Linked DNA regions of Arabidopsis thaliana. The protein of the gene in region 3 binds, or shares a complex with, the protein of the main gene of each other region. Each region holds a gene or a part of one and is shown on either strand. Other genes may lie near its edges. The genes, in order: THO7, THO2 and DWA1.

The links.
Region 1: DWA1 (region 3) and THO7 share a complex: the UniProt entries of both Arabidopsis thaliana proteins name them as parts of the THO complex.
Region 2: DWA1 (region 3) and THO2 share a complex: the UniProt entries of both Arabidopsis thaliana proteins name them as parts of the THO complex.

Annotation. Positions count from the first base shown.
Region 1 is NC_003074.8:665,228-668,981, reverse strand, and holds the start of THO7 (Tho complex subunit 7/Mft1p), read left to right. Parts: upstream 1-2,059; 5' UTR 2,060-2,193; exon of another isoform or gene 2,194-2,385; intron 2,386-2,510; 5' UTR 2,511-2,542; coding exon 2,543-3,142; intron 3,143-3,240; coding exon 3,241-3,351; 3' UTR 3,352-3,754. Other genes in the region: AT3G02960 (Heavy metal transport/detoxification superfamily protein), read left to right, coding at 356-364, 454-628, 957-1,132, 1,265-1,358, 1,451-1,737. UniProt on the Arabidopsis thaliana protein: Acts as a component of the THO subcomplex of the TREX complex which is thought to couple mRNA transcription, processing and nuclear export.
Region 2 is NC_003070.9:8,740,315-8,744,068, forward strand, and holds the start of THO2 (THO2), read left to right. Parts: upstream 1-1,625; 5' UTR 1,626-1,749; exon of another isoform or gene 1,750-1,836; 5' UTR 1,837-1,895; coding exon 1,896-2,030; exon of another isoform or gene 2,031-2,126; coding exon 2,127-2,252; intron 2,253-2,362; coding exon 2,363-2,404; intron 2,405-2,894; coding exon 2,895-2,954; intron 2,955-3,520; coding exon 3,521-3,583; intron 3,584-3,754. UniProt on the Arabidopsis thaliana protein: Acts as a component of the THO subcomplex of the TREX complex which is thought to couple mRNA transcription, processing and nuclear export.
Region 3 is NC_003071.7:8,413,257-8,417,010, forward strand, and holds the start of DWA1 (DWD (DDB1-binding WD40 protein) hypersensitive to ABA 1), read left to right. Parts: upstream 1-1,789; 5' UTR 1,790-1,960; coding exon 1,961-2,286; intron 2,287-2,373; coding exon 2,374-2,450; intron 2,451-2,531; coding exon 2,532-2,577; intron 2,578-2,704; coding exon 2,705-2,765; intron 2,766-2,853; coding exon 2,854-2,907; intron 2,908-2,997; coding exon 2,998-3,078; intron 3,079-3,169; coding exon 3,170-3,209; intron 3,210-3,481; coding exon 3,482-3,582; intron 3,583-3,754. Other genes in the region: AT2G19420 (uncharacterized protein), read left to right, coding at 323-627. UniProt on the Arabidopsis thaliana protein: Acts as a component of the THO subcomplex of the TREX complex which is thought to couple mRNA transcription, processing and nuclear export.

The DNA.
Region 1 (3,754 bases), on a different chromosome or scaffold from region 3:
GTAAGAAAATAAAGCTCGAAGATTTGTAACTATTCATGATTTTAGAAAATCGGAATAATGAATAGTGTACTTATTTGGACACTGAATAAGAAGTTACACAAGTCCCGATTGAAATTTAATTTACTAATGATCGTTACAAAATTATTTGTCTCTTTGTCATCAATCCTGTTAGTGAATATTAGAATTATTATTCATTGTAAACAAATAGGATCATCCAGATTGAGAAGTAAATAATTTTATGTATGTTACAAATGAAATAATTAATTGATCGTAAAACCTCTCTGACCTTATATATATCGAGTCTCACTATTCAACTTTTTCATTGCACTTGTCGTACAAAGGAGTAAACATTGATATGGGAAAGGTATGTGCATTCCTGTCTTTGGTAATTCCAGTAATTTGTTAAGTAAATTATGTGAACTTATATTTTGTGTTTTGGATTTGGTTCTAAAGAACAAGCAAAATGGAGAATCAGACAACAAGTCTGAAAAGAAGAACCAGAAAAATGGAGATTCATCAGTCGATAAGTCTGATAAGAAAAATCAATGTAAAGAAATTGTTCTGAAGGTTTACATGCACTGTGAAGGATGTGCATCACAAGTTTCTCATTGCTTGAGGGGCTATGATGGTAATACTCTATTAAAAGAAACATTATTAGATTACTTTCCCTCTTTAATGGAATCATATATATATGGTCTCGATCATAAGAATCAATGTCAAATATTTAATCATTTATCATTGAGTGAAATTGTACTATAATTTAACTTAAGCATTATCTAGTCTGGTTTCAGTTTTATTTTTCTTTCCTGTAATCTAGAGAAGTTGTCTATTAATTCCCACAATGACATAACGAATAGTAATCTCTAGTTCTTAAAGCATCAATTAAAAAATAGGATTACCGTTTTTTTCTTCTTACTCATGACTCATAAGTAGCTATTATCTTATTTGTCTTATAGGGGTTGAGCATATTAAGACAGAGATAGGAGACAATAAAGTTGTTGTGTCTGGAAAATTTGATGATCCGTTGAAGATATTACGAAGAGTGCAAAAGAAATTTAGTAGAAATGCTGAGATGATTTCCCCAAAACATAACCCTAAACAAGATCAGAAGGAGCCACAGCAAAAGAAAGAAGTAAGTTATTTCCAATTATTTCGTGTTAGAACTTAGATATATACTCTCATTTATATCATACCTTGTCTAATTAATCTGAGAATAACAACTAACATATCTAATCATTTCTAAATATTTTTTGCATGATTTTAGAGTGCTCCCGAGATCAAAACTGCAATTTTAAGAATGAACATGCACTGTGAAGGATGTGTTCATGAAATCAAAAGAGGCATTGAAAAAATAAAAGGTAATCTTTGTATATACATATAGAAATAATACGATATCGAAAGTTAAAAAAAACAACTTAGAATATGTTTGTTTGTTTTGACAAATTAAAAGGCATTCAATCGGTGGAACCAGACCGGTCAAAGTCAACGGTAGTGGTACGAGGAGTCATGGATCCTCCAAAACTTGTGGAGAAAATCAAGAAAAAACTTGGGAAACATGCAGAGCTTCTAAGTCAAATTACAGAGAAAGGCAAAGACAATAATAAGAAGAACAATAATAAGAAGGAAGAAAGTGATGGAAACAAAATCTTTAGTTACCCTCCTCAGTATTCATCTCAACATGCTTATCCCTCTCAGATTTTTAGCGACGAAAATGTACATTCTTGTTCAATCATGTGATTTTTTGACCCGTAAAATTAGAGTCTTTTTAAGTTATCTTTTATGGTTTTGATTTCCTTGCTACACATTTCTATATCTCAATAGATTTTAATTTAATTTAATTTTTGAGTGACACTTTATGAAAGTAAGATTTGGTGTCATGTGTATACTCGATTACTAGATTATGTTTGTAGTTGTGGGCCTTTTGTACAATTATTTGTAAAAAAAAATTAACAGGGCATTAGAGTATAAAAAAAAAGAATGTGGGTATATATTATATTTTAATAACTTAGGGTCTATTTTGTAATATAATATAAGTTGAGAGTACTTGTTGCATTTAACCCAAAAAGAAAAAGACAAGGGAGGACGAAGATGAATTGTCTCAATTTTTAGGGTTCATCAAAATTTGAACAAAAGGGACCTGTTTTGCTCAATTTTTGATAGCAGAAGACGAATCTGGATCTGGGGTCACTTCAAGTAAGTAAAGAGTTAACCTTTTGCTTTTTTTTGTACCATAAATTGTGTTCGAATGGTACGATTGAGAAATTGCTTACGAATCAATGAAATAACAGTTAAGATTTTGATGATGAATGCTCATGAAAATCTATTTAAGTTTGATTGAGAAATTGAAGAAGAGAATAAGAAATCGAGAGATTTATTGCGTAAATGGTAATACTTTATGTTTCAGTTCTGCTATTTAGATCCAAGCTTGAATATGTATCCCTTAGCTTTATTTCTGTAGGTTAAGATTGTTTGGTTGTTGAATGTTCTTTGTTTGTGCATTGCCTTTGCAGGATTGAATTAAGAGGTTTTTAAGTAAGTTGAGATGTCAGTTAAAGCAAGGAGAATTTCTGGTAGATTAGAGACTGTAGTAACTAAGGTTAATTATGCATTTGATCCTGTTGACGATGACAAAATCATAAGAAACCGGCTTCTAACCCGAACCACGACCACTCGAGGCGAGCCTCCATTGAAGAAACTTCAGAAGAAGTTCACTTCTTTTGTACTCGAGGTGGATAAAGAAGAAGAGAACTATAACGACTGCGGTAGACTTGCCAAAGCTTTTTTACAGGAACTGTCAACTTTCGAGATTCCGCTTCTGAAGAGCCAAGCGGTTGTGGAAGCAAACCTTAGGGAGAAAGAGAGCTTTAATGAGGTGAAAGATGAGACGGAAAGGCAGATAATGCAGGCGAAAGCTGAGATTGAAGATCTAAAGAAGCAGCTTGAGGAGAGTAAAATAGATAGACAGCATAAAGAAGAGTGTGAGACGATAAGGAAACTGATTTCTGCGCAACCGCCAAGGTCAGAGACAGAGAAGGTTATATATGAATTGAACAAGGAGATTGCTGAGCTTGAAGCAGAGAGCACTGCAAGTTGGAGATTGCTTGAGCTAAGGAAGAAGCAGTTTGCTCTCCTGATGCATGTGGTAATGTCAAAAAACCGAACCTTTTACGTTTCAGTCTTCATTACGTGATCTATGTTTGAAGTTTGAGTTTGTGATTGTGAACGTTTTTGGGAATGTAGGTGGATGAGTTGCAGAACACAATGGAAGATGAGCAGAAGAGTTTGGTGGACGAGATTCGGTCAGCGTCGGAAGATCAGAGGAACATAACCGACGCTATGTCTGTTGATTAAGTCCAAATCTCGATAAAACCTGCATCATGTTTCAAGCGTTTGCTTTGTCATCTGTTTCCTGTTTCTGATATGCCTATGTTAACCAAAACTGCGGCAGCTCAGTATACTGAAACCTGTGATTCGGATAGAAGAACTGAGAAACAAAGATTGTTTCTTTCAAATTTGCAGATGCAAGAAAGATTGTATCATTGTAAAATGCAGATGTTTAAGAAATTATGGTTTGTATAACCGGTTAAGAAATACCAATTTCTTGGTAATGTACTTTTTTACTCCAAACCGAGGCTGAACTGTTGATTCAATTAAACCGAGGTGGTTTACTATAAATTAATTACGTCGTGACGGGTTTGCTTTTGAACCGGCTTAGAAATTAGAAATTAAACAGTGTTCCGCTTTTGACTTGGTT
Region 2 (3,754 bases), on a different chromosome or scaffold from region 3:
TTAAAAAAGACGACACACTGTCTGTTTGTCTGGATCGGAAAAGTAGTTTGTATTCGTTTTCCATATAATGGATACATATTTGATTTGCTATAAATTATAACCCTAGGTTATGAAGATTTTTTTTTTTTTTTAGGTTACGAAGAATGTTGACGTAAATTGTAAAGACAACAAAAATAGTATTTTCATCAACATTACTTAGTTTTATTCCATGCATGATGGAACTTTGGTTGAGGATTTCTATTTCTCACAAGGTAAATTCCATCATTTCTAGCAATCTAACGACGTAGAGCATCACATCGATCAATGTTGGCTGCTCTATATGCTACAAAATCTTTATAATATCGCATGTATAAGCCGTGTTTCAAAAGACAAGTCCATCTTGTCCTTCTTCCAAACATGTCTCCGAAACGGATTTGTTTTAGTTCCTTGAATTGTAAATTTGCGACGTCTAAATTGTCGTCTTTTGAATGACGATGATACTAGAGAACCAAACCGGGACCAAGATCATTCATAATTTCAATTGTGTTACGTTTACAAGACAAAACTGATACAAGCAATCCAAAATACGTCGCAACAACTAACATAAAAATTATAAAACGATTCATTTTTCGGGTAATATGAAACTCCAATTTGAATTTAATGACACCAAAGTACAGTATCTATAGTTATTTCGTGTGGTTAGTATTTGACGATTTTCCTATGGCCTTAATAAATTAGTTAAACTGAAACACAAACATGTAGTTAATAATAGATAATGTCGGAAAGTCTGGTTGACTAATAAAAAAAAACAAATGAATTCAACATTACAAATTATAAGTGATCCAAAAAACCTAACAAAAACCAAAATGTTTAATATATAACAAAAATTCTTCTAAGCATATTCTTTAATTCTAGACGAGGCAATTTGGAAGCACTGATTTGAACATAACAAAATAACAGCAGCCCTCGCGCCAATACAGGCACATTAAGTTTAACTATAAATGACTTTTAGCGGATTAGATTTTAACATAATGAGTTTATAAACAGGCCAGACCTAAAACAAATAGCTTTCGAATAACGTTGGTCAAACCGACCCGTTTTCTTTTGTTGTTGTTTCTTGAGCAAAGGAGGACGAGGAGGAGAAGAAGGAGAAGATGACTGTAAGTTGGATCAACTTTTCAATTGCTTATGGATCTTTTCTGACTTTCTTTGATCGTTTTTTTGTCCCGAGTAGTTAACGATTCTGGTTGAAAACGGGAATGGAGCGAAGAACGCTGAGAAATTTTTTAGGTTTTGGTTTCCATATTTTAGTTAATTTGGTATGTTACTAGCTAGTACTTGTACTCGTTGCTTTCTATTTGTTTATATCTGTTAGGACCAAAAGATGTAATTAACATTTTTAATTCGATATTTGCCTAATTGCCTTGTTAGTAGTATCGTGGTGGACTCAAAGATCATCTGAGCCCATGGGCTTGTTCAATAACAACCAATTCATAGTTTCACGCCCATTCAAAACAAAATCATACGACTTAACCGGACCCGGTTTTGTATTGAAATTGTATACAACATAATTTGCTGAAACAAAAGACGACAGAAAAACAAAATCGGTAAGTAGTAGAAAAAGGAAAAGAATAGTCCCCTCTTCTGCAAAATCAAAAACATATTTGCATCATCTTCACACCGTCATCATCATCGTCTTCAATTTACTTCCACCAAATCAAATAATCTCTCAAAAACCCTAATTTCTCTTTTTCTTCTCTGATCAAAATTGTTCGTTCCTCTCCCTTTTCATCTTATCGGAATGCTTATTTTCTGGTCGCCAATCGAAGTCTAAACCCTATTTTCTTAATCTTCTAGGGTTTCGAAAAGGGAGGAGAGTGAAAGATATACATACATACACACGAAAGGGGTTTAAGATGTCTCTTCCGCTACTGGAGTGTAAGTACGTGACGGAGGAGTTTGTTCGTGAAGGTAAGAATGGCAACTATGGAACCAAGCTGCCCAGCTCTGTGCCGATGCTTCGTTTCCTCTACGAGCTCTCTTGGATTTTGGTATACACACAAACACCACCTTCTCTTCCTACTACTATCCAATCACGCGTATATGTTGTTCGAGTTCCTCAACGGTGCCTCGTGATGGATTATTAGGTTCGTGGCGAATTGCCAATTCAGAGCTGTAAGGCAGTGTTGGAAGGTGTGGAGTTTTTGGATAAGCCATCGAGAGAAGAATTAGCTTCGTGTTTTGCGGATGTTGTGACTCAGATAGCTCAAGACGTAAGTCCAATTACAGTTTTGACATCCTTAGCTCAGAGATGATTGTGCAAGGTTATTGATACTGATCGTTGGATTGATTGGGTTCGTGTTCTCTTTGCTTTGTTTTGCAGCTTACCATGTCGGGAGATCAACGTTCTCGTCTAATCAAATTGGTGAGTGCTAGAATTTATTTTACGTTTTGAAAATTGATCATTGTTTGGATTTGTTAGTCTTGAGGAAAGATAATTCTAGCTCTTTAGATATTAGTGATCACAAAAAGTAACATCCTATGAATAGATTAGGCATGTGGTGTATAGCTATCAGTAGTGTCCTAAGGTTCAACCAACCGATGGCTCATCCTGGGCAGGTTGCAAGAAAGTTCCTGATTGTAAAAGGCTACTTCATCCTAAGGAGCTGAAACTTTGACCATAGTGCCTTAGATGATCTATTAGCGTAGTTTGGTATTGAATTTTCCTTGTATGCTTGATCCAATGTTCTCTGATGAGCTGCTTACAGAGGAGTTGTTAGCATATGTCTTATTTTATTGAATTTGATGATTGCGTACTTTAGTTTCTTCCTTAAAATATTCTTTCTGTTCTCATTTACCATCTCCTCAAGGTTTCTATGCTCACAGCTAATGAACCAATTGTTCTTTTTTGGTAGGCGAAATGGCTTGTGGAATCACAGACAGTCCCTCAAAGGCTTTTCCAAGAGCGTTGCGAGGTAAACATTATGTTACGTTCAGCCAATGAAACAGAGTAATACGTAGAGAATCTTTATATTAATAGAACTTAAAACAAGAAAATACAGCTTTGAGAGGTTTCTTAATAGAGTCCCCTCTTATCCCCCCTTCCACCTTTCACTAGTTCTCGATAACTCCCTCACTGGTACCCCTCATCTATATAGCATGTGCATCATGCAATCCTACTGCCCATCATAGAAACCGTAGCTTGAACAAGTCTGGAGTGATAGATAGAGACTGCTAAATAATAGTTATTGTAGCTGCTAAGGTAGTTATAGAAGTTAACTTCAAGGCTGTAGCCTGTTTCGAATGTCACATTAATCCCTTAAGACTGAAGAATTGTCCTCAAAGATCCAGTGGACCAGCTGGTCTCACGGAATAGCCCTCTTCTTCTTGCTGTAGATGTAAAGGATAGGAGCGGGCAAGTCCTAAAATGTTTGTTATTATTCCCAATTTGAGTAGTTTGTACCCCACCCACTTAACCTCTCTATTTTCTTGATCAGTAAGAAGAAAATTTTCTGAAGGCGTTTTATTTATTTTATTTTAGGAGGAGTTTCTCTGGGAAGCTGATATGGTTAAAATAAAGGCCCAAGATTTGAAGGGGAAAGAGGTGAGGACTTCACACTTCTGTAACTGCTGTATTAATATGACTTCACACTTTAGTCATCAATGCAGCTGCACTGTGCTCTGATTTACGTAATAGTTACTCTGAGTGAATTGCTATTGCGAAAGATTAATGCTTATAAGAATTTCTACTTTACCTGTGTAACTACTGCTCATT
Region 3 (3,754 bases):
TTTTGGAGTTAATTAAATAAAGACAAAAGATGCAAGGACAACGAATTATGAACATCTTCGAAATACGTTTTTAATATTGTTTTGGCATTTGATTTGATTTGATTCTCCTTCCACATTCCCTTGTTCATATGTGTTTGTGTCTCACGCAAGCACTACATAAGCGGTCCCCCTAAATACGTTTCTAGAAACGTCAACGTTTATTCAATCATACCAAAATTTACATGTGTATTCATCAATCAGCCGACCATAAACTACATGGTCCATTAGTCATTACCTATACTGCAATTTTTCTAGCTTTTAACAGCCATTATGTACTTCACAGTTTGGAATACTGGTATGACGAAGAAAAGTCGAGGTAAAAAACGTATTAGAATAAATGTTTATCGTCCAAAGATCGCACCAGCAAAGAATAAGAAACCTAAACCAACAAAGGAACAATTAATGGACCCTGAATTTTCTGATGAAGACGTACTTACCAGCTTGGGTTTTGATGATGGCGGTTACATAATACCACTACCGAAAAAATCTCTCATGTTGATTAATCTACCAGATTCTTTTCGAGATGAGTTGCAAACGATGCATGTCAGTTTTTATCTCCGAGAAGTTGGCAAACTTATGTTTGGGTGAGGACAAATATGCTCTAGTGAATAGTACTAAGAAGTTGATGCTTACAGATGGTCTAGGACGGCTTCATTTGTTTTGGATGAATTCAATTTTTTTTCCGAATCAGTATTTGCGAATGAGATTTATGTAGCCCTAGATGTGAGATTTATGAAAGCTGGAAGTGCCAAAAAGAAAGGTGGAGATTTTAATTGTAACAAAAACGCACAGAGTCTTCTTTATGATTTTTTCTTGGTAGATATAGATGAGGAGATATATGGGTCAAAATTTGAAGAGACGGAAGACCAAAAGAAGTGGAACAAAAAATTTTGAATTGATTTGTCTTCATCATATTGTGCTATTAACATTAAACACGAAATAGAGCATCTGAATCTTGAATTCTATGGAATCTCTAAAACGAATAGACAGATCTCCGCGGAGGAAGTGAAATTCTCTACTCATACTGCATTCAAAATTAATTGAGTTTTTCAATTACATTGGAGGTTTATCCTTTGATACTTTCGGTTTGGTGATTTGAATGAAATGTTGGTTTTGACAGAAAAATGAATAACACTTGCATTAAAATCATCAAAAATTGAATAACACTAGAATCTAAGGAGGTGTATTCGATCTTATATTTTAAGTTATTTGAGTTTTTATATAATTTTGATTTTTTAAAGAATTTGGATGAATTTAAGGAGGTTGTTATGATTTATGGTAAAATCCTCTCAAATTCCACCTAAAACCATGAGATTTAAAATTATATATTTTTAACTAAGAAAATCCACTTAAGTCTCTTAAAGTCACTAAAATCCAATCTTTAAAATGTTTTCAATAACAGAAGATTTTTAAGGAGATTTTAAAATCAGTAATTCAATAGCATTAGATTTCATGATACTTTTAAAAATTCATAATTGAATAACATAGGATATGTTAGTTTGAATAAGATATCCTAGGTGTTAATTTACTATTTTTAAAAAGGTAAGATTTTTTTTCATGTTTTTAAAAAATGTGAGAGTTTTTTTACCTATTTTTCTATTAAAATGAAATGTATAAAATTAAAATTTTGTTTTTAAATAAAATTACTAAATTAAATATTACAAAATATGTATATATTACTATTTAGAATTCAAATATTATCGATACAAAATTAAATTTATTTCTTCAATTCGTCTATTTAAGCAAGCTAGTAATTTGATCGACAAAAAAAAAACAAGCTAGTAAAATATAATTAACAGAATTACTAAATCGGCCGGTTTAGGGATTGCTTTCTCTCAGTCGTCAATTGCACTAAACCACTGGTGGTAATATCGCTGGCGTTTCGCAAGTATCACCGGGAATTGCAAAGAAGCAGAGGACCATGTACGGAGACGCTACAAACTGGAATGAAGATGAGTATAGAGAATCAATTTTGAAGGAGCGAGAGATAGAGACACGCACCGTCTTCAGAACCGCCTGGGCTCCTCCGGCGAGAATCTCTAATCCAGACGCATTTGTTGTAGCCTCCAGCGATGGAACTTTAGCTTTCCATTCACTGAACTCGCTTGTGTCTCAATCGGCGAGTTTTGGCTACTCGAAAGGTCAAGATGTTATGGTGGCTGAACCTGAGAGAGTGGTTAGGGCACACGAAGGTCCTGCTTATGATGTTAAGTTCTATGGTGAAGACGAAGATGCTTTGCTACTTAGGTAGAGACTTAAATCTCTCTTTGTTGATTGATGAGTCTTTGATGAATTGTAATTGAGAGTTTGAAATTTTGATCTGGTTATGTGTAGTTGTGGTGATGATGGTAGAGTTAGGGGATGGAAATGGAGAGAATTTGCTGAATCAGATGTGTCTCTTCATTTGAAAGGTGTGTGTGTGCCATTTTTGTGGTTTTTGATATGAATGATGCTTTTTGGAGCTTAGTGGTTGTTTTTCTTATGATCTACAGAGAATCATCTGAAGCCATTGCTTGAACTGATTAATCCACAACACAAGTGAGTATGAGTTTTGTTCATTTTTTATTCTACTTGATAACTCTGTTACTGAAAATGCTATAATTGTGGGTTCAAATGTCAGTGTTCGTAATAGTTGTGTGTATAATCACCATTCTTTTTCTTATAGAGGTCCTTGGGGTGCGCTTTCACCGATGCCTGAGATCAATGCCATGTCTGTTGATCCTCAGGTTGGAATTGTATTTAAATTTCATTGCTTGGTTAGACAGTCTCACAGGATAACTGTTTCACCCTCTCTCACTTCTTTCGTTTTGATAGTCAGGAAGTGTATTTACAGCAGCTGGTGATTCTTGCGCATATTGTTGGGACGTGGTATGTATTTGACCATGATAGATGTATGTCCTATGTGAATCCAGATATCTTAACTTTCTAAAATCATTTATGTGTATCCAACAATTTCAGGAGAGTGGTAAGATTAAAATGACCTTTAAAGGTCATTCAGACTATTTGCATACTGTAGTTTCTCGTAGTTCTGCAAGTCAGGTAATGATGTTACCATAAATATTAGAAATGCACCTATCCAAATCTGAGTTCCACATTTGGATTTTTGTCTGATTGTAGTCTCTTTCTCCAGATATTGACGGGTTCAGAGGATGGGACTGCGAGAATCTGGGGTAACATGCTCCCGACCATATTTCTTTATGCTGTAATTTCTAGTATTAGGTCATACGTGGTTATAGAACTTTTGAAATCATTTGAGTCTTCATGTTGGTACTTAAGATCCAATGCTCCTCAGTTTTGTTGGCTGCTTCTTACAACTCTATGATGATTCATTTTGGTGATTACAGAACTTTCCACTATGTTATGTTTTGGTTCATGTGGTTTACTTTAGTTGTCTAGACTAAGCTTTGTTCGCTCAAGGGCTTCTTTCTGTTTTGTCAACCAGATTGCAAAACGGGAAAATGTGTTAAAGTAATTGGTTCCCAGGATAAAAAGTCCCGCCTTCGCGTTAGTTCTATGGCCCTTGATGGGAGTGAAAGCTGGTTGGTAAGAACTAAGCAACTAGATAATCTAACATTTTCGCAACCTGCTATTTGTTTGAAGGGATTGTTGCCTCCAGTAACCTAAGAATATAGTTCCTTTCTCCTGAAGAATCACTTAGAAGTTTAAATACTGAACATGTATTTACTGTTATTGGTATGATTTTCTCCTCTTTCAG